Linked DNA regions of Pelodiscus sinensis. The protein of the gene in region 3 purifies or fractionates together with the protein of the main gene of each other region. This does not show direct contact. Links are inferred from orthologs where the notes say so. Each region holds a gene or a part of one and is shown on either strand. Other genes may lie near its edges.

Region 1 (7,877 bases), on a different chromosome or scaffold from region 3:
GTTGCAGAAACTATTTAAAAACGCTAGAGCTCTGCCTTGGGCTGTTGCTACACTTCAAAGGCAGAAGCACCCTTATTGACTAATCCTGCGTTTCTCATACTGTGGGTCCCAACCCCCCAGGGGGTCGTGAGCAACTTGGGGGGGAAGGGGGTGTCGCAGCTGAATTCAGTTTTTCTCTTGCAAAAATTTGTGTGTCTCCAGCATCTCAACTGGCATCCATTGACACTGATCACGTGATTACCAATAGTTGGGCTTGGCTTCTATTGCAAATGTTCGCGTGTCTCAGATCATAGAACATAGAATCATAGAACCATAGAGCTGGAAGAGACCTCAGAAGGTCACCAAGTCCAGCCCCCTGCTCTAGGCAGGACCAATCTCAACTAAATCAACCCAGCCAGGGTTTTGTCAAGCCAAGACTTAAACACCTCTAGGGATGGAGACTCCACTACTTCCCTAGGTAACCCATTCCAGTGCTTCACCACCCTCCTACTGAAATAGTTTTTCCTAAGATCCAACCTGGATCTCTCCCACCACAACTTGAGACCATTGCTCCTTGTCCTGCCATCTGTCACTACTGAGAACAGCCTCTCTCCATCCTCTTTGGAACCTCCCTTCAGGAAGTTGAAGGCTGCTATCAAATCCCCCCTCACTCTTCTCTTCTGCAGACTAAACAGACCCAACTCCCTCAGCCTCTCCTCATAAGTCATATGCTCCAGCCTCCTAATCATTTTGGTTGCCCACCGCTGGACCCTCTCCAATGCGTCCACATCCTTTTTGTAGTGGGGGGCCCAGAACTGGACACAATACTCCAGATGTGGCCTCACCAAAGCTGAATAAAGGGGAATAATGACATCTCTGGATTTGCTGGCAATGCTCCTCTTAATGCAACCTAATATGCCATTAGCCTTCTTGGCTACAAGGGCACACTGTTGACTCATATCCAGCTTCTCATCCACTGTAACCCCCAGGTCCTTTTCTGCAGAACTACTACTTAACTGGTTGGTCCCCAGCTTGTAACTATGCTTGGGATTCTTCTGTCCCAAGTGCAGGACTCTGCATTTGTCCTTGTTGAACCTCATCAGATTTCTTGTGGCCCAATCCTCCAATTTGTCTAAGTCACTCTGGACGCTATCTCTGCCCTCCAGTGTATCCACCTCTCCCCCTAGCTTAGTGTCATCCGCAAACTTGCTGAGGGTGCAATCCATCCCCTCATCCAGGTCATTAATAAAGATATTAAACAAAACCGGTGCTAGAACCGAACCTTGGGGCACTCCACTAGAAACCGACCGCCATCCTGACACCGAGCCATTGATCACTACCCGCTGGGCCCGGCCTTCTAGCCATCTTTCTATCCATCTCACCGTCCATTTATCCAATTCACATTCCCTTAACTTGCTGGCAAGAATATTGTGGGAGACTGTATCAAAAGCCTTGCTAAAATCAAGGTATATCACATCCACTGACTTTCCCACGTCCACAGAGCCAGTTACCTCATCATAGAAGCTAATCAGGTTGGTCAGGCACGACTTGTTCTTTACCCACCATAGGCTGTCCACCTTCATCCCATCTTGTGTCACTTAGCGCATTAGTCCGGGAGCCCACCTTGTCCGTGAATACAGAGGCAAAGAAAGCATTGAGTACTTCAGCTTTCCCCACAGCATCTGTCACTAGGTTACATCTTCATCCAGTAGTGGCCGCACACCCTCTCCGATCACCTTCTTCTTGTTACATGAATTCATTTAGCATTTTAGGGGGTCGCGGTATCACAAAGTTTGAGAACCCCTGGACGAATCGAATAGTTGATGCAAATTGCATGGACTATTCGATTAGCCAATTGATGGAAATTCCATCCACTACTCGATTAGCCAATTAAACGCTGCTTAACATCCCTAGTTGCCAATTTTCTATGCACAAAACCAAACACCCCGGGCCTGCCTCTATGCCCCACTTATTCGCAGCGACCCTACCTCCACTTGCTCAATCCCCTCCCCACCCCCGCCTCTGTAGCTTGCTCTCTCTCCCACCCTCACTCACTTTCACTGTGCTGGGGTTGAGGTATGGGGGGTGGAGGAGGGGCTTCGGCTGGGGAGACAAGCTCTGGGGTGGGGCTGAGGTGTTTGGGAAGCAGGAGCATGGGCAGTCAGTGAAGGTAGGGCTGGGGGAGGCAAGGTATTTGCTTGGAGAAAGCTATAGATTGATAAGTGCATGGGATGTGTATGAATGATCCCATATGTAAGGAGTTATAAGATAAATGGAGATAAAATATCCTTTTAAAGACACAACATAAATGCCCTGATTTTTCTGGTGAGCAATTTATATCTGATGGTGAAGGCTTTGCAAAATTCTCAAGAATTATTCAAAAAGAGAAGGTCATTTAAGGATAAAGCTTCAAGAAAATACAATTTCAGAGCAATGCATTTTATTTTATGGTTAGTAAGGTTTAAAAACAAAACAAAGCCGAGGTTTGGCAGGATTTCTCTTCTAAAAACCTTTCTTTGTTTTAAGAGGGAATATACATGCATGTAAAGATAATTCCTTTTATTATTTTATTATTATTTTATTTTATTTTATGAATAACCTATTTCCTCTTCAAAGGGAGTGGGCAGGAATCCATGGGTTTCAAAGGGGGAGGAATGTGCTAAGAATAGATCAGACAGCAAGGGTGGGGAAAAATAAAAGGGGAAGGCTGGGCAGATTTGCCCTACTTCCTGAGACAACTGCAGTCTCATCTGCGGATGGAACCTGTTTGTTGCCAACCAGAAAACGTGCACAGCTGATCAAGTCTCTTTATTCCATTCAATAAAGCAAGTAACTATCCCCAGCTCCCTCAATAAAGCACATCTGAGTGACCTGGACTAGACCACAATTTTGGAAAAGATAGCAAATGCCATTAGTAGTCAGTATTTCTTTACCTCTTGTAACCTGTCACTAATGCATGGAAAGAAATCCCATTTATTTCAGAGGCAGAAAGAGACTACTTCTCCAGTCCTTTGCACAGCCCTGCCCAGTGCCCAGGAGAATAGGGCTGTTTCCTGAGCCCCCTTCTATTTGTTGCTGTGCAGAGCTGGTCAGGTTTTGCTGTATTCAAAGTGGGAGACCCATTTGTTTTTGAGAACAGGCTAAAAATGCCTTTCCTTCAGCCTAAAATTTGCTCAGCCACTTAGGTACATGGAATTCATGCATAGGGTTGCCACGTGTCCAGGATTGACCCAGCTAGTCCGGTATTTGCACCTTCTGTCCGGTAAAGAAATTGAGAAAATACTGGACAGCTAATGACTTTTTTCCCCCCTCAACAAACATTTTTCCTGGGGTGGGTTTGTTTTTGGGTTTTTTTTTGGCTCAACAAAAATTTCCCTGGCGCTTTTTTTTGGAGTGTGGTATTTTAGGAGAAACCATCTGGCAACCCTATTCATGCAATGGGGGAACTTTTCTCCAACCTGCCTGCCTGCAAGGTACGGTCACAGGCACATATGCCTGGGAGGCGAAGTCCCTCTCCACCACGCATGCAAGAATGCCCCCTTCTCCGAGGTGCCTGCATGGAAGGAAGGAATCTTACATCTCGGCAAGGTGAAACGTCTCGGTGCATGCCCGGTGCCCTCCCGCAGGACTGCGAGGCTCCAGACTTCACCCGCATATAACTAAGCCATTACCCGCTCGGGTCTGTACGTTTAACCCGGTAAAACAATTCATTGGGAACAAGGTGGGACGTGCGCCCTTGCTGGGAAGAGATCGCCCACTGCAGCTGGAGTTTGTAGGTGTGGTGCCTCGCCCCCTCCTCCCCTGCATTTAAAAGCACAGCACCATTGACAACGGGGGCGGGGGGGGGGAGTCTTGTGCAGCTGCCTCCCCCCTACTCTCATCTACCTGGGAATTTCCAAGGTGCCGGGGGGAGTAGTCAGCCCCCCTTACATTAAGCCAAATGCAGCTAAATCACCTGACATTAGATCAAACTTACCTGCTGCCCTTCTCAGTTAGGTCTGCGTGGGGTAGGACGCTTGTGTCTCCAGCTGGTCTGCAAAGGGAACGAGGGTGGAGTCTGCAGAGAGCGGTACATGTCCCTGACCCTACAATGGAGGCGAGGGGGGCTGCAATGCGGTGGGGGGCGATGCTCCTGCCCCCAGCTGCTCTGCAAAGGGAGGGGGTCAGCTGCTGTGCAATGGGGCGGGGGGGCGAAGCTCCTGCCCCAGCTGCTCTGCAAAGGGGGGGGGGGGAAGCTGCTCTGCAATGGGGCGATGCTCCTGCTCTGCAAAGGAGGGGCAGCTGCTCTGCAATGGGGGGGGGGGCGATGCTCCTGCCCCAGCTGCTCTGCAATGGGGCGGGGGGGGGCGATGCTCCTGCCCCAGCTGCTCTGCAATGGGGCGGGGGGGGGGGCGATGCTCCTGCCCCAGCTGCTCTGCAATGGGGCGGGGGGGGGCGATGCTCCTGCCCCAGCTGCTCTGCAATGGGGCGGGGGGGGGGCGATGCTCCTGCCCCAGCTGCTCTGCAATGGGGAGGGGGGGGCGATGCTCCTGCCCCAGCTGCTCTGCAATGGGGCGGGGGGGGCGATGCTCCTGCCCCAGCTGCTCTGCAATGGGGCGGGGGGGCGATGCTCCTGCCCCAGCTGCTCTGCAATGGGGCGGGGGGGGGGGCGATGCTCCTGCCCCAGCTGCTCTGCAATGGGGCGGGGGGGGGCGATGCTCCTGCCCCAGCTGCTCTGCAATGGGGCGGGGGGGGCGATGCTCCTGCCCCAGCTGCTCTGCAATGGGGCGGGGGGGGCGATGCTCCTGCCTCCCCAGTGTCCGGGGCGGGCGCTGGCCGCTGCTCTCTCCGCCGCCCCCAGCCCCTGGCGCTGTCTGAGGCCGGGGGCGGGGCGCGGCGGGGTCACGTGGGAGGCCGGGGCCCCAGGGTGCGGCGATGGCGGCTCCGGGCGGCGGCGGCTGCTGCAGGGTCCTGGCCGCCGGGCTCTTCCGCAACCGCGTGGCCATCGTGACCGGCGGCGGCACCGGCATCGGCAAGGCCATCAGCGCCGACCTGCTGGGCCTAGGTGGGCAGGGGCCGCTGGGCGGGGGGCTCAGGGCAGGGGGCAGCCGTTGGGGGGAGCCGTTGGACGGACGGAAGGGAGGGTGAGGGAGCCGTTGGGAGGGAGAGACGAGGGGAGGGAGGGGGCCGTTGGGAGGGAGAGGTGAGGGGAGGGAGGGGGGAGCCGTTGGGAGGGAGGGGGCCGTTGGAGGGAGCCGTTGGGAGGGAGAGGTGAGGGGAGGGAGGGGGCAGCCGTTGGGGGGGGAGCCGTTGGACGGAAGGGAGGGGGAGAGGGAGCTGTTGGGGGTGAGGGAGCTGTTGGGAGAGAGGGGAGGGAGGGGGTAGTCGTTGGACGGGGGTGGGGCTAGGGAGCCGTTGGATGGGGGGGATCAGGGGAGGGGGCAGCCGTTGGACGGACGGAAGGGAGGGGAGGGGGCGAGGGAGCCGTTGGAAGAGAGGGGTGTGGGGAGGGAGGGGGCAGCCGTTGGACGGGGTGTAAGGGGAGCAGAAAGGAGATGTGGGGGGAAGCACTCAGCTGAGGAGGTGGGGCAGAAGGGATAGAGTGTCACGCTAAATAGTTGGTGCACAAGATGGACCTGGGGGAGAAAGGAGTGGGGACCTTTGGGGCGGGTGTGCAAAGAAGGCACCCAGGCCCGTTCTGTCAGAGATGCTTTATAAGAAAATCTTCAGCGTCTCATCACCCTCTAATTTAGGTTCATAATGCAAAGATGGGGGAAACTGAGGCACAGAACATGACTAAGTAACTTGCCTAAGATTCCATGGCAAACTTGTGTCAGAAGTAGGGACTGAAACCAGATCACCTGACTTTCCACTGGGTACTGGGAGTGTGCCAGTGGGAGGTTAGCGATGTACTTAATCACCTCTTGTGCTTCACTTATCCTTCCAGGCCTCTCCTCAAAATACTCACCTGGATTATCCTATAATAAGCTCTGAGCCTTAGGTGATGCAGCAGAAGACAAACACATTTGTCCTGACATTTGGATGTGTTTGAATAAAGTTGCACCAATTTAACAATCTCTTACTTTGTAACTGGCACAAGCACTTCTTGATTCTGCGCCCCCTCTCCCCAGTCCATCGCTTTAAAAAGTCAGCAGCACGGGGGACAGGCAGCTCCAGGGAGTGTATATGCACAGGGAGATGATTTGAAAGCCACCCTGTGGCTTTGTAGGAGGTGACAGCATGGGGTGAGGGAAGGTAGGTGGGAGCATGGAGTCAGCTCCCCATGTGTGCTGGCTTCCCCCACACTGCCTCTGTGGGAGGCATCAAGGCGGGGGCCGGTGGCTCCACAGCAGCTGGCACACATGGGGAGCTAGCCTAGAAGCCAGCTCCCTGAGCATATTGGCTCCTGTCCCCCCTCCCCCGGACTGCATCTGATAGCAAGGCAGCAAGCCCGGGAAGTGCATGTAGTAGATAGGACTAACCCATAAGACCAGGTTTATCAGTTAATCATGTAATTGACTACACGTTGACATCCCTGCTCTAAACCCGGAGAAAAAGCATGCCTCGTAAATAAATGGTCATGTCAAAGTGTCTTAATGTTACAATAAGCATTTTGTTGGCACAGGTCGAGGACCCCTGCTTGGAACGTTTTATTTGTCCCTGATATGTTTGTAGTAATCCATGGTTAAGCCCTTTTGCAACGTTTCCACAGTATTTCAAAGCTGATATTATGGAACGTACGTTAGAGATCTAGGATTTGGCCCTGAAATGCTTATTAGTGGGTGTAGTCCCTATTATTGTGAATATATTCACAGATATCAGTACGTACAGTCTTGGTAGTTAGCATACTGCCTGATAGTATAGAATTTGTAGAATGAAGCCTCTAATACTTTTCATCAGCTGAAATCTTGGTATAGCAACTTTTCCAGTGTTGTTGATTTCTGGTCTATGTAGTTGGCAACATATGTGCTCTTAATCAGGACATGAGCCCAAGGTTTTGTATAGGTCCAGGCTGAAATCTAATACACCTTGTGTGATGGGTTGGATCACAGAGATCCTCTTGTGACAAGGAATGTCAATGTGTAGATAACTACATGGTTAACCAATAAGCCTGGTCATATCAGTTAATCCTGTCGACTACATGCATTCGCATTCTCCACCTCCAGCTGCCTCTGTATTTCCCCTCTTCTCTCCCCTCCTGCTGCCTCTGATAGAGAGGCAGTAGGGTGAGGGGGGCAGGCAGAAGTCCGTACATGCTAGTGAGTGATGAGTAACACAGATGTTGAACCAGCTCAGGTCTGGGAGGGATCAGTTATAGGATCTTGACAGCACCCAAAAGCAGAGCCCTCAAAAGGAACCAAACTTCCTAATAAATCCATCTTTTATAAAATAAGTTATGCACAGTAAGCTCTTTAATATGTTCACCCTGTTTATCAATGAGAGATGTACAGCTGTGCTCCCCCACATCCCAGGTAACAATTTATTTGCACTAGGTTTATTATTAAACAAAAACGTTTTTATTAAGGCAGTAAGGTGTCCCTAGCCTTTGTTTGTCAGAAGCTGGAAATGGGCAATAAGGGATGGATGACTTGATATTTACCTTTTCTGTTCGTTCTCTCTGGGGCACCTGGCATTGGCTACTGTCAGAAGACAGGCTACTGGGCTAGATGGACCTTTGGTCTAACCCAGTATGGCCGTTCTTATGTTCAGTATAAAAAGAAGGATTTAAGTACTTTGAATATGTTAGTTTTCATAAAATACCATGTGATATTTATATATACGGTTATACAAAGAATTAGTATTTTTGTTAGCTTTTGTTCATTGGCTCATCTTTCTTTAATACTACTTGTTGAATTAGCATTACCTGTTAATTGGTTATCAGAAGTGCCGCTTCTGGTGGGACAAGACTTTGAACTCTA
Region 2 (7,313 bases), on a different chromosome or scaffold from region 3:
CACATCTTAACAGCAAGCCCATTATTTCGAAATATAACAGGCTCGCTATTCTGACGTCCCTGCAAACCTCATTCTACAAGGAGTAAGGGACGTTTCAGAACAGCAGGTTATTGCATAATTAAATTATGAAATAAGCTACACAATTTGCATAGCTCAAATTGCTATGGAACCAAGGTGTACCATTCAGCAAAAATAGGCCTGGCTCCTTCAACACACCACTTCCTAAAAATAAAAGCTAAGGACACCAAGAAGGGAAAAACCTAAGATCCTATGCCAGCCATGTGGAAGTCCTCTGAGTGATTTCAAGTGCCTAACTCAGTTAGTGATAGAAATGTAGCCGTGTTAGTCTGGTGTAGCTGAAACAAAATACAGGACTATGTAGCACTTTAAAGACTAACAATATGGTTTATTAGATGATGAGCTGAGGAAATATTTGATCTGAGGAAGTGGGTCTGGCCCACGAAAGCTCATCATCTAATAAACTGTCTTGTTAGTCTTTAAAGTGCTACATAGTCCTGTATTTTGTTTTAACTCAGTTAGGCATTTCTGTCTATATTTTCCAGGAATTCTAGTTGCTGACTAAGGTTATGGCTACACTACAGTTTTTGCAGAAAAATGGCCATTTTTCTTCAAAAACTTATGTAGCGTCCACACTTCAAGCACATTTTTGCACAAGAGAATCGAAAGAATAGAGGCATTTTTGCGCAATTGGTATTCCTCTTTCTACAAGGAAGAACGCCTTTTTGCAAAACAGTTCTTTCACAAAAAGGTGTGTGTGGATGGGGAAGAGGGGGTTTTTTTGCGCAAAAAGAGGAAAGAGGAAAAAGCACAGGTTCTCTGGTGGCCATTCTGTGCATACCAATCGGAGTTTACTTTCTAGAGAGCGTCCATGCAGTCTGGACACTCTCTTTCACAAAAGCGCATCGCTTTTTCGATGTGCTTTTGCAGTGTGGATGCATTCTTGCACAAGAAGTTTTTGAGGAAGATGTCTTCCAACAAAAGCTTCTTGTGCAAAAAGCCTGCAGTCTAGACGTAGCCTCACATACCAAGAAACAACTGTCCTTCACTCACCTGTGTTTGCAGCATTAACTGCTGCTGTAGACAATACCTAACAGATCAGCAAGGTGTGTAGGTTCTTCTTTTGTTTGTAATGTTTTCCTTGTGGTGCTTTTTACCTTAGGAACAAAGTAAACTTGCATGGGAAGCACTGTGTGGTACCTTATAACTGTAGCCATTATACCTGTTAAACAGCTTTGAAGAGAAAGATTGCTTGGGCCAGTTCAGGCAGCCTGGCTTTGCTGGGAATAACACTATGAAGGCAGGGAACTGTTCAGCTTGGACATGCCCCAATCAAGAGGGCAATGAGGGTGGATGATGAACACATGTGCATCTGCCCTGATCTGTGACAAGCAACACACAGACTTTCTCTTGGGTGATGACCCAAATCCATCAGTTGACCACATCCTGAAACAAAGTACTCATTAGCAAGAAAGCAAATGTGCTTGTATACATGTTTTAAAGATTGTCACAGGTGTGTGGGTGTCTGTTTTGTAACTGGTTCCAGTCAAGCTTGTTGCAGAGTAGTTTTAAAACTGAACAATTTACTGGTAACTAGAATTATAGAACATGGTGCCATACTTAATGGTACCACAGTGCCTTTCAAATTCTAGGTATATACAGACTAAGACCAAGTGTGAAAGCTTTTTAAAGTGCACTCAGTCTGTCACAAATATGGGAGATTATCTTAAGTAGGTGGGAGGGTTAGTCACATCCTACAGTTAAAATAATTAATTGGGAAATAGACTAAAAGGGTTGATCACAATAGATCTTTTGCGAAGAAGACCTTGGTGAATTGGCATGTAAGTAACTTACAAATTATTTTCAGATCTATCTGGAGATGACTTTCCTCTGAGCTAACAGCACTAGAGTTGATAACCAATTAGCATGAGTGAGAATCCTTAGGGATTCTGTCAAATCTAAACAGTCTGACCTTTCCAAATTAGTAATTAGCAATGTGGTTTTCTAGTGTGGTTCTGTAATTTCATTCTGAAATCTAAATGGCTATTCTAACTCATTTTCTAATATAAACAGAATATATATAGTATTACCCCTATTTATACCTGTTGTGAATTTGACCTACAAATGGAGAACGAGGAGGCAGAACTGGTAGGTATGTGGGCAGAGAATCCATGAAGAAAGGATAGGTGGCATGAGTTCAGGAAAACAGGAGAGAGTGTATAACGGGATCCAGGGGGTTGTGTTCAAACACACTGCACATACAATACCTCTCCTTCCTCCCGCAAAAACAAAAACAAAACTGGGGACCACCTCACGGTGACAGCTTCAGGAACATTAGCCATTTACCTTGTGAACTTTAATCGAGCGCCTCAGTATGAGCTCCACTCATACTAAGGGGAGCTTAGCTAGCTCACCAGACAACCAGCAGAGCTGTTTCCTTCCACAGGGTTCCCCTTAGCTCACAGCTGATGCCCCATTCATTCCCCACCCTTTTGCCTCTGATTTCAATTGCATGAGAAGAGGACCTCAGAGTCCATGAACAAGGATCTCAGGGTCTTTGTGGGGTTTTTCACCCTCCTTTAGGATCTCTGTGATCCTCCCTCATTCTCTTGGGACCTTTGAGGGAGAGGTCATACAATGCACTGCCCCTTACCTCTCTATCCCTGCCTCCCAGGTACGTTTGGTCACACACAGACACCAGGAACATGGAAACCAGAGAGCTCTGTTCAGCTAAACCTCCTCCCCCAGCCTTCCCATGTGACTAAGCCAGGTCCCGACCACATGACTAGAAAAAGCTCAGCCCCCTCCTTTCCTAGTAGGGTGGCAGCTGCAAAGCCCTGCTGAGGCGCTTATGTCAGTGAATGACTGGGTAATCCGGGTTCTCCCTCCCAGAATGTCTGTCTCCCTTCACTACTCGTTCTGCTTTGTGCCAAGGATGTGTCGCTGCCTCTGGCTTTAATAGTTATTGGCACCTTCCCACATATTTCTGAAAATTCTATTACACGGGTTCATTGGCCCAAGGGTAATTGCAGTTCCAAAGGTAGGGGATTAGATATTTGTCTAAGGAGAAATCCAAGCTAGTAATTTATATTTAGTACCTATCCAGTGTTATGGAGCTAATGGAATGCACTTCTTTTGTTTCACCAGATATATTTATTTGTGTCGATTTTAAAATTAATTTGTGAAACAGTCTTCGGGAAGAGGTACCATTTTGGGCGGCCAGCGCACGGTACTGGGAGCTGTCTGGATTCTTTGTCCAGCTCTGATGCTAACTGGCGGTGGACCAGTCCATGCTCCTTTTGAATGTTTATCTTATTTAGTTTGAAAATTGATTTAGTTAAATCAATGAAGTTTTTGGTGGGAACACTCTTAAATCAGTTGATCACATTATATTTGTTTTGTAACTGCATTGCAGTGCCTAGCATAACAACGCCCAGCCCTGTTTGCACATTTGTGCTGTAGCTGTAATAAAAGCCCCGTGCAAATTTATGTTTCTGTTTTGTTTTGCTGCTATGGCTCTCAAGTTGTGCATGGGAACTCCCGTACTCTACGCAACGGCAGCCGGACTGCACTGCCAAAGCCCTAAAATGTTAGAGCGCAGCTGGCAATGCAGAGAACCCTATAGCTGTCCTGTAATTAACAGGACTGCACTAATTGTACCACAAAGCCCTGCAAGTGATATCAAAGTTCAAAACTCGAAGACTGCGAGATGCCTTTTGGAGGTACACCCAGCATCTGCTCAGGATGTACCTTGCATTTCACCTGCTAGTGCTACCCAGTGCTGCTGTGGCAGCCAGTTCCTTCGAGATGTAGCTGGAGGGGCTGTTTCCCCTCCTTGTCATTTTGTGACACGCAGCCTTTAAACCTCTGCGATGACCCCCGGAGCGCAACGTCTTTCTAATACACGCGGGGGTCCCCTCACAGGGGCTGTGGTCCCAACCTAACTCCAATGCTAAGATGCCATGAAAGCGGTGCCCGAGCTAAAGCAATTGTTTTACATTCATGACCCTAGGACTTGCCAAGCCCAGAGGGGCTGGAGCCCAGCCTTTGCGCCCATTCAGCGCTGCCTAGCTTGCTGCTTGGCCAGAGAGAGCCCTCTCCACCCTTGCAGCTTGCACGACAGGGCACGGGGAGGGGGCGGCAGGAACCCCTCTCCTGCATCCCCGCTCAGCCCGCCCCACCGCACAGAGCTAGAGTCCCAGCGGCCCACCCGGGGGAGGCCCTTTGCGCATGCGTAAGTCTCGCGCCGAGTTGAGGGGTAGACGGGCAGAGGGGGCGGGAAGTAAAGTGGCGTGTCGGTGATGCGTGACTCAGCCGCGCGCCCTCGCTCTCGGTCGCCGCCCTCCTGGTCACGTGCCAGACCAGGGGGCGGGGCGGGGCGGGGACCGCGGCTCGCCGCCCGGCTGCAGCCGCTGGGAGTCGGTGTGTGAGAGCGGGCCGGGGTCAGGACTCGGGCAGGCGCCGCCATGAACCAGGATCTGCGCAAGGAACGTGCCTCGGCCTCCTTCAACCCCGAGCTCCTCACCCACCTCCTGGATGGAGGCGCCGAGCGCACCCGCCGCCGCAGGGAAATCGGTGAGAGCCTCAGCCCCCTCCCCCACTGGCTCGGGGGGGCCCCCCTCCTCGCACCGAGGAGCCCCACTTCCCCTCCCCCCACTGGCTCGGGGGGGCCCCCTCCTCGCACCGCGGAGCCCCACTTCCCCTCCCCCCACTGGCTCGGGGGCCCCTCCCCGCACCGAGGAGCCCCACTTCCCCTCCCCCCACTGGCTCGGGGGCCCCTCCTCGCACCGAGGAGCCCCACTTCCCCTCCCCTCACTGGCTCGGGGGGCCCCCCCTCCTCGCACCGCGGAGCCCCACTTCCCCTCCCCCACTGGCTCGGGGGGGACCCCCCCTCGCACCGAGGAGCCCCACTTCCCCTCCCCCCACTGGCTCGGGGGGGCCCCCTCGCACCGAGGAGCCCCACTTTCCCTCCCCCACTGGCTCTGGGACCCCCGTTCCTCGTGCCACGTAGCCCCATTACCCCTCCCCCCGGCTCTTGGGGGGGGGGGGCCTTCCTCGTGCGACGGAGCCCCCGATGGTCCTGGGCCCCCCTCCGCGCCTGAAGATGGCGTACCTCCCCCATAAGCTCTCAGGGTACTCCCTCCTCACATGACAATCCTTCCTTCCCCTCCCCCCGGGCTCTGGGGAAACCCCTGTTCTCAATTTGGGGGTTCTCCTTCCCCCTTGCCTACTGTGAGAGCCCCACTGGCTCGGTCCTATTCCGGTGTGTGTACCCCAGGCAGCTCAATTAGAGGGTGTCCCCACCAGATGAGTTGAATCACATTTGGGGAACCCTCACTCCTGTCCCTACATAAGGGAAGGAGCCCCTAGGCCTTCATATTGCTTTTTCTTGCCCACCCCTACTTTATACACCTAGAGGCCCCTTATGGAAAGGAGGATCTAGTAGTTAGGACACTACCTAAGACTTAGGAGACCTGGATTTGTTTCCTTGCAATGACACAGGCTTCCTTTGCGACCTTGAGCAAGATATTTAGCCTCTCTGTGCCTCAGTTTCCTGCTTGTAAAATGGACTAATGTAGCACTTCTCTACCTGACAGGGGTGTTACAAAACTAGATATGCCAAAAATTATGGTGCACAATAACACAATAGCAAGAATGATTTGTATACCTTAGTGCCTTGAAGTGCTAGACCAGTGACTTACTGACTAAAAGAGGCTTAAATGTACATTTAATGTGAAAATGATTTATTGCAAGATGTAATTGGAACTGAACTTTGTCACTTGCTTCAGATTTTTAGTACTGTATCTCAAGACTGGACATACTAATCCTTATAGTTTTACCCTTCCTCATGGGATGACTGGCTTGATTGCTTGACCCTTAATTCCTTTTCTGTTCTTCTGTTGTGCCCTCAGAAGCCTTAGTTCTGAATGATCCAGAATTCCAACATGAAGATTTAAATTTCCTCTCACGCAGCCAGCGATATGAGGTGGCCATCAGGAAGAGCGCCCTTATGGTGATGAGGCTAAGAGAGTATGGGATTGCAGATCCTGATGAAATCTACTGGTTTAAAAGGTACTGGACTCTGATGCAAAATAGATGCTAGAAGAAAATTCTTCTGCATTATCAATGAAATTACTTTTTTTCCTTTTAATCTTTTAAAGCGAACTAAGATCATGAGACACAGTCATTGAAGTCATGACTGCAGTGATCTTTGACTAAAGCCCTAATGCCCTAGATAAAATCTATTGGTTACAGTGTCTATTTCCTTAGATTCTTTTATTATCCAACTAAAAATGATAAAATCTTTAATGCCAATGATAGTAAAAATGTCCCTGAAACTGAAAACCTGGTTCTAAGTTAGCCTAAGGAATGAAATATTCTGACTTTTAATAAATGGCGTAAATTAGATCACTGTTCTTGGTGTCCTTCTGTGAAGCTCTATGAATAGAGCTATTGTCATAGCTGAAAAAGTTCAGAGTCAGTTTTCAGACAGAACAACACTTTTAGCCTTGAAATGTTTCTTTTTACCCAAATAAATTCTGACTTTCAGTTTAGCTGACCTTTTGCATTATCTAAGTTGGGGGAAAATCTTTGACAGTTGAATTAGACTAAGTTTAACTTGCCATGAACTTAGCCCTGAATATCATTAAGCACCTTTGACACAGGAAAAAACTTAGCTGAGAAATGTCTGATCTAGCTTTCAGTTAACTCCTTCAAATAAGGACTGCAAAGCTAGAATATCTAATAGCAGTGATTCTCAGACCTTTTGGCCCGTGGCCCACCCCACTCAATGCAGACTCTTTCATGAACCACCAGTCAATGTGACAAAATGGGTGAAGGAAGGGTGGAGGTGAGGTCTGGATGAGAGGTTGGTTGCAAGAGCAGTCTGAGGGTGGGAGGTGGAGTGCAGGAATCGGCTGAGGGTCAGAGGGAGGGTGCAGGAAGTGGGCAGGTCAAGGAAGGAGGGTGCAGAAGCAGGGTACAGGTGTAGGGTCTCGGAGGGAGTGGGAGGCATGAGGAGAATGAGGGGGAGGTGCTTACCTGGCTTTGCACTCCCCGCTGCATCCATTGGCCAGGATTCTGGCCAACGGGAGCTGTGGGTTAAGCCTCCAGGTTTCGTGAGCTGCTGTTCCACCAGCCATGGAAAGAGGGAGCAGCAGTGTGCAGAGCTGCTTTCTTCTTGCACAAGCCAGATAAAGCCTGCAAAATTCCTTTTCCTCTCCATCCTGCAGTGTGAAGCTGCCACTGGTATTCCAATCTCGTGAGGTGAAGGAAGGACTGTAGGACTAGTGCAG
Region 3 (7,583 bases):
GAAATCTTGGACAACAGCAAACTGGGTTGCTGTTTGCAATGAAGAATTCATTTTCCTGATGCAAATTTCTAGCTCTTCATCAGAGCCTGTCAAAGATCATCATAAATGTTAATTAGATGCCTGTCTCCAACAGGTATATGAAAGAAATAAATATGGATGGTTGCACGGATCAGTGAAAAGCAGCCCCCTCGGGGGTGGGGCATAGCAGCTATTTAACTGCTGCCCAACAGTTTAATGTAGGGATTCAGTTGGTTGAAGTGGAGGGATCTGGAGCAGACTACAGTCCATATCACACCACCTATATGCTGTATAGCCTTGGGCAACTCTTCCCCACCTGGTGCAACAAGCTGGTGCAAATCTCTCAGGACACTCTTATTTCAGTCAAAGGGCATTGTTACGGATGTTAAATATCAGTTACTTGATTAGTCGATTAACCTCATGAATTCTTATCAGTTAGTCAGCTACTCTAGAGTCCCTGGGCAGCCCCTGTCCAGTGGGGGAGGGGTCTGAGCTCCTGGACTCAGCACGAGCCAGAACTGAGACAGGCTGCCTGCTCCTAATACACTTTAAATGCAGAGGCACAGCAGGAGTAGGTCCAGGACCCAGTGCAAGCCAGGACTGAACTGGGATGCTGTCCAACCTGCTAAAAAATGTGCTGGCAAGGGGGGGGGGGGGGGCAGAAATGCATGTAGTCTATAGCAGTGGTGCACAACCTGTGGGTCGCAGATGTCTTTCCAGGGGGGTCGTGGTGCTTAGATCTGGCCGGCCAGGGGGTGGGCCCAGCAGTTGGTGGCCTCCGCAGTACAGGGGTGACAGATCAAAAAAGGTTGCACACCACTGGTCTATAGCATTAACCTATTAGCTTTTGCTTATCAGTTAAGCGACTACACTATTACATCCCTAGCGTGGATGCTGGTGGCTTGTGATGTGCAGGACCTCAGACTAACTGATCTGGTAGTCCCCTCGGGCCTTAAACACGGACTCTAGATCAGAGTAATTTCACCCCGCATACTGTACCAGTGTGACCCACTGAGGCACGTGCTGCTTGTGCAAAGTGCCCTGAGCACTGTCTGGAGTGTCTCTCTCACATAACAGACAACTCCTACATGGGAGAACAGAGTAGGACATACTACCAGGCAACACACCACCCAATCTACACAAGAGGAGCCTTCACCTGTCACCTCTGCAATGAACTCTTGTGACCAATCAGCTTCATTGTAATCTGCAGAGACATCAGCTGTGGTATCTCCTGTCGCCAGAAATTCCTGGGCCCAGTTCTCAGACAGAGCCAGGGCTGCCACACCTGGAGCTAGGGACAGCAAGAGATGGGGGAGAGTTCAGTGACAAGCCCCAAGTGCCACACCCCCACAAGGATTAAATTCTTGTCTCTTAATCTACAGACACCCCTTGCTCTAGCTAAGCAGGCTTTTTAAATTCAGTCCCCCTCCAGACATACCACCTCACGGGGAGGTGTAGGTAGGGGTTGCAGAAGCCCCAAACTCTATCTCCACCACCTCACCTCGTTGCGGGGCTTGGCGGAAGCTTGACTGCTCAATCTCCTGCATCTCAGCCAGCAGATCATCCATTTTAAAGGTGTGTGGGGCACGGGAGAGTAGGGGGGCATTCTGTTCTTGTAGGAATTCTGCAGCCAGCTGTCAGGGAGAGAGAAAGAGTGGGTGAGGGGGAATACCCAGCAGAGACTCTGGGACAGAAAACAGGAGAAAGAGAAGGGAGGACAAAAACCAGAGAATGAGAGATGGAAAGAGTGAAGAGGAATCAAGAAAATGTGGCAGTAAGAAAGGTGATATGGAGAGCAATACAGTTATTCTTACCTCATCTTCAGAGGCCACTCCCAAAGGTTTGGAGACCTGTGGGAAAAGTAGGCAAACAATCACCCCAGCGGTGGGACCTTGCCTACAGCATCAGTCACCCATTATGATGGGAATGATATGACACCCCCCACACATAGCAGGACCAAAATCCCACCTAGGCAGACCCACTCTATGGGTGAGGCAGCCACCATATCTCCCCTTTCTGGGCAGACCTCTGCTGTGACTGGACATACATCCCCTCACCACCACCACCACTACTACTTTAACTAGTGATTCCACAAGCAGCCTCCACAACAGGGATAGGGCAACCAGACTCCCTGCCTCCCCACTCCCACCTGCTCTGATAGCCTCCCCTGTACTCAGACCCTCACTCCTCCTCCCCCCCAGTGCATCCCTGACCCTCACTGATCCAGGACCCCGCCTCACAGGAGCTGGCAGAAGGACCCTCCACCCCATGCCCTGGTACTCACTGTCTCTGCCCCAAGACCTGCAGGCGGCCAGGCCGAGGAACCCTGCAGACCCTCCTGCCGCAGGGCCTTGTCCTGGGTGAAGTGGCCAGCCAGCTTCATCAGGGGGTTGGAGCCCCCACACTCTGGCTCCACCAGCTCCCTCATGGCCATGGTGGGGGTAGGGGCGCTGCACCCGCAGGACCCTCACCCCGTCTGGGGGAGACAAACACAAAGCTCACGTGACCGCAGGGCTCTGGGGCGGTGCTCGCTCAGCACCCACCTGCCCCGTGAGCAAGCTGCGGGGGCCACCCGAGCGGGCGCAGCCCCGGCGGCCGAGCGGAGGGCAGGGGCGGCATGGCCAAGGCCCTTCCCCGGCAGCGCCCGCAGCCTGGCGCGAGCGGAGCGGCCGGAGGGAAGCGCTGGGGCTGCCACGGGCCAGGACAGAGGGGGGGCCTCGCGCCCCCCCCCCCGGCTCTTCCTCTCCCCCCGCGCTCGGGCACCTGCAACCCGCCCGCCCCCCTCGCTACCTGGCGCCCCGGCGGCCCCTGCAGCGCAGCCCGCACCGCGCACCGAGCAGCAGGGGGCGGGGCGCGCGCTTAAAGAGACAGGCACCGCGCTCCTCGCCGCGGCCCGGCGCAGGGGAGGCATCGCCGGCCTGAGGAGCCAGGGAACAGCCCAGCCGGGCTCGCGTGTAGCCCAGTGTCCCCCCAGGAGCGAGGTTTCAAAGGCCACAACTGGGCTCTTAAAGGGCCACGCAGCCCGAGACGTGCCCCACCCGCCTGCGCCGCTCCGGCGGCTCTTAAAGGAGCAGGCCGCCAAGAGAGCATCCCGGGGCCCGCCAGGGCTTAGCCTGCCGCAGAGCTGAGCAGCACGCTCTGAAAGGGCGAGGCGCCCGACAGGGACTCCAGGGGCTCCACGCCTGTTCAGGACACGTCTCCACTAGGCAGAAAGGGGGATTGGAAGCGTGTGTGTGTGTGTGTGTGTGTGTGTGTGTGTGTGTGTGTGTGTGTGTGTGTGTGTGTGTGTGTGTGTGTGTGTGTGTGTGTGTGTGTGTGTGTGTGTGTGTGTGTGTGTGTGTGTGTGTGTGTGTGTGTGTGTGTGTGTGTGTGTGTGTGTGTGTGTGTGTGTGTGTGTGTGTGTGTGTGTAGCCAAGGCAGTTGTAATTCTAGCACACTGGCTGATCAGGGTAAGCGGGGTGAGGGAAGCCAGCCTGCCTTTCCTAGTGAAAATAAGACTTAAGACAGGCCAGGGCCAATTGCCAAATCAGAGCATTATCAATAAGTTAGTGAAGTGCTAGGTCTAGGTGTCTTGAGAGGCCACCCCTGCATGCTCTTACAGGACCAGATACCATGGCTACGTCTAGACTGGCATGATTTTCCGGAAATGCTTTTAACGGAAAAGTTTGGCACAGACGCTTTTCCGCAAAAGCACTTTTTGCGGAAAAGCGTCTGTGCCAATCTAGACGCGCTTTTCCACAAAACCCGATCGCCATTTTCGCGATCGGGGCTTTTTTGTGCAAAACAAATCTCAGCTGTCTACACTGGCCCTTTTGCGCAAAAGGACTTTTGCCCGAACGGGAACAGCATAGTATTTCCGCAAGAAGCACTGATTTTTTACAGTAGGAAGTCAGTGCTTTTGCAGAAATTCAAGCAGCCAGTATAGACAGCTGGCAAGTTTTTCCGGAAAAGCGGCTGATTTTCTGGAAAAACTGGCCAGTCTAGACACAGCCCATGTGTAATGGTCAGTGTCGACAGCCCCTCCATCAGAAGGTATCCTTTATTTAAATTCTTGACTTGCTTTCATATGATGTTGTTGTACAAGGCGTTCCCGCTATAAGTCACCCTGGTATACATCCGTTCCACACTAAAGTTGTTGACGCTTATAGGAACTGATACATTATAAGTCCTTCCATTCCCTGCTCTTAAGTCATGCAAAAAAAAATTTTTTGCATAAATGAAAGTCAGCCGCGGGAGAAAAAAATTCCCCGTTTTAAGTTTTGCTATAAGTCCAAGGTTTTTTTGGAACGTATCTTGGACTTATAGTGAGGATGGCCTGTATCCAATCTGGTCTGGAGTCTAAGAAGAAATTAAGTGCAGCTTGTGTGTGCTGGTGTTTTACTTGCAGTTTCCTGATAAATGCTCTAATAAGTAAGACAGTATTACACATGTTACAATAACAGAAGAAGCTGTCTATTGGTCAGAGCAGTGTTTCCCAATTGGTGCTCCGCGGAACCCCAGGGTTCCACAAAGCAAAAGAAAGGGTTCCGTGAGAATGTGGCACTCCCCTGTCCTCTCTTAAAGACACAGTCTATTTTGCAGCTTTTTTTATTTATTTATTTATTTTTTGCTCGACCAGTTCTGGTGGATCTTTATTTATTTATTTATTTATTTCTTAACACATTTTACTCTGGTAACCCTAGGGGTTCCTTGAAATTCTTTTAAGCTGAAAAGGGCTCCGTGGCCAAATAAAATTGGGAAACGCTGGGTCAGAGGATCAGATCGGGAGATCAATCAGTACATGGAGTTCTGAAAGTGACAGGTAAATTGAGGGGGCAAGACCAAAGAACTCTAAAGAGCTAAGCACCATTTGAGAACAAAACCCTCAGAAAACACTATGTGATATTCTTAATCACTGCACACAGAAGGTCCAGTGCTGAAGGAAGGAATCACAATTGTGCAGTGAATGAAGCTGTTCGTAAGATCCCTGCCATTTTTTCCCCGAAGTTAGAAGACATTTAAATAGGGTTTCCATATTTGAACTTTCAAAAAGAGGACACCCCGAGAGGGAATATATCTGTATTATATTATATTATATTATATTATATTATATTATATTATATTATATTATATTATATTATATTATATTATATTATATTATATTATATTATATTAATGTAACACATTGGTAGATACTGATACAGATACATTCCCTCTTAGGGGTGTCCTCTTTTTTGAACATTCAAATATGATAACCCTACATTTAAAGATTATGAGGAAGGACGGGCTGCAAAAAGAGACAAGATGGTCTTGTGGCTTAGGCAAGTTAATACTGTAGAGGAGAGCTCAGTCCCACCCCTGCTTCTGCCTCAAGCTTCCTATATGATGTTGGGCAAGTTACTTAAACCAGAATATTATCAGGTGGCCACTAACAGTGCATTCCTTATTTTCTGAATGCCCAAATTTAGATAGGCCAGCTTGGAGCCTGATTCATAGTAGTGCTGAGTGCTCACAAGATCAATGGGAGTTGTGGGCATATGGAACATCTGGCACTGGCAGTAATACTGTGTGGTTTGGAGACATGTGCACAGACTGGGTAATTAAGAAATGTCTGAGTTCTAATTCTTGTTTTGCCATTGATACGCTTTGTGACCTCAGGCTCAGGCAAGTCTCAATCTCAGCTTCCCCATCTTTAAATTGGGAATAATGGTGCTTTCTTATTTCATAGTATAAATGTGGAGAGCTTTTTATTAGTATTTGTGAGGCTCAGCTACTATACAGATGAGCACAAAAATACATAAGGAAATAAATAAGAATAAATAATGCATGACAGGGGTGGTGTGCATTAAATAAGAGAAAGGGACACATCGTAAAAGATGAAGGAAAATAAGAAATATTGAACAGTTGCCTCTTTCCCATTATTGCTAACCCCACGTGTTCAAAAGTCATGACATTTTAAAAATAATAAATGCAAGGTGTGGGGGTTGTTTGCTTTCTGTTTTTTTGAGCCTTTCTTGGAATTTGTGAAAGGAAGGTATTGAGGCCTACCCAGAATATGTCAAATGAGCACCAGTTTAAATGTAAGTGTAAAGGAAAGGCAGCATCGTGAGATACAGGAGATGTAAAATAAAAACAAAATTTGATTGGATGACCAACAATAACCCCGCTTTTAGGGAAGTAAGTAACTCAGACGGCAGTATGCAACAAAGTGCTGATTACCCCAAATGGAGCAGACGAAAGTTTTTGTAAGGGCAGAATGAGACAACAAAAATCTAACATCAGCAATTGTCAGGCGAGTGGAGGAGTACCAAAATACCGAAACAGGGTATATAAGGTTGGATGGAACAGACCAAGAGTGGACGGGTTGCGAATCCAAAAAGCTAGGTCTGATCAACCAGAGCTCCCTCCCCGGCGCTGAATCTCGCTGCTGCACATAAGCTCCGAAAGGGGAACAACACCGGTCGTAAGTTGCAACAAAAAATCCAAAAAAAGGAAAAACATAAAGAAAAGAATACCTCCTGAATCTAAGCAATGCTTCTATCTTTCTTAATGTAAGTATTATATATTTGTTAACTCCATAAATTGTTTAAAGGTAAATCAGGAGGGTATATCTGTACGAGAAGTTATTATTTCTTGTTTTTTTTAAACTGTACTGTTTTTCTGCTTTTTCTTTGTATATTATATTGTCTTAAAAGAATAAAAAATAGTGAATTGATTTACATTGAAAATTAATTATAAAGTAAATAGAAAAAATAAAAAATCTTTGTTTGACCTTAAAAAGAAGTATTCCTCTGTCTGTGGTTTCAAATTCTTTAAAGAACCAAACCCGGTTACTGAAATAATTGCTGTCAAGATTGTCTTCACAACTATGAGGGTTAGAAACTTAATTTTTAAAATGAAAGCTGAGATTCTCATGTAATGAATGACTCCCAGAGCTGAGCTTTAAGAAAATACACCAAATATCATGAAACCTGTGATGTAATCATGAATTGGCAACACTTCATTCACTATGCACCGCTCCACTGAAAGAGACAGTAGTTTTGTGGTAAAAACACAAGACTTTAAAAATGGTATCTTAATGTTGCACAGAGAACCTTAATTCTGATCATCCTAACTTTTCAATGCTTGATATTATGACCTAAATAATGTTCTTTTGGCAAAGTTTATTTGCATGTAATCTACATAGTTGTGTATATGTAGACAGTCAATTTAAACAGCTCCATTGAAGTCTATAGATTCCGTAAAGTTATTATCTTTCTATACATTTTAGAAATGTGTCTGTCTGTCCATCTGTGAGCCTGTTTGTTCAAGAACTCCTCCTAAACATTAATAGAGATGTAGCCATGTTAGTCTGGTCTTGCTGAAACAAAAGACAGGACTATGTAGCACTTTAAAGACTAACAAGATGGTTTATTAGGTGATGAGTTTTCGTGGGCCAGACTTTTTTTGATTGTATCCCTTTGGTATATATGGTCATGCCAATTTTCTTCCACAATTTGATCTGAGGAAGTGAGTCTGGCCCACGAAAGCTCATCACCTAATAAACCATCTTGTTAGTCTTTAATTAGGTGATGAGCTTTCGTGGG

What was found. The genes of interacting proteins can lie anywhere in the genome.
Region 1: the proteins of PEX5 (region 3) and PECR purify together in Homo sapiens (affinity purification with mass spectrometry; 3 studies listed by BioGRID, with this or other methods). This does not show direct contact. The link is inferred for Pelodiscus sinensis from reciprocal best matches to the Homo sapiens genes PEX5 and PECR.
Region 2: the proteins of PEX5 (region 3) and ACOX1 purify together in Homo sapiens (affinity purification with mass spectrometry; 3 studies listed by BioGRID, with this or other methods). This does not show direct contact. The link is inferred for Pelodiscus sinensis from reciprocal best matches to the Homo sapiens genes PEX5 and ACOX1.

What each region holds. Positions count from the first base shown.
Region 1 is NC_134717.1:3,124,758-3,132,634, forward strand, and holds the start of PECR (peroxisomal trans-2-enoyl-CoA reductase), read left to right. Parts: upstream 1-4,868; 5' UTR 4,869-4,893; coding exon 4,894-5,023; intron 5,024-7,877. UniProt on the Homo sapiens protein: Participates in chain elongation of fatty acids. Catalyzes the reduction of trans-2-enoyl-CoAs of varying chain lengths from 6:1 to 16:1, having maximum activity with 10:1 CoA. Has no 2,4-dienoyl-CoA reductase activity.
Region 2 is NC_134730.1:10,989,746-10,997,058, forward strand, and holds the start of ACOX1 (peroxisomal acyl-coenzyme A oxidase 1), read left to right. Parts: upstream 1-4,304; 5' UTR 4,305-4,484; coding exon 4,485-4,593; intron 4,594-5,930; coding exon 5,931-6,090; intron 6,091-7,313. UniProt on the Homo sapiens protein: Involved in the initial and rate-limiting step of peroxisomal beta-oxidation of straight-chain saturated and unsaturated very-long-chain fatty acids.
Region 3 is NC_134711.1:137,879,479-137,887,061, forward strand, and holds the start of PEX5 (peroxisomal biogenesis factor 5), read right to left. Parts: upstream 3,006-7,583; 5' UTR 2,809-3,005; intron 2,495-2,808; 5' UTR 2,453-2,494; coding exon 2,303-2,452; intron 1,869-2,302; coding exon 1,833-1,868; intron 1,653-1,832; coding exon 1,520-1,652; intron 1,310-1,519; coding exon 1,175-1,309; intron 1-1,174.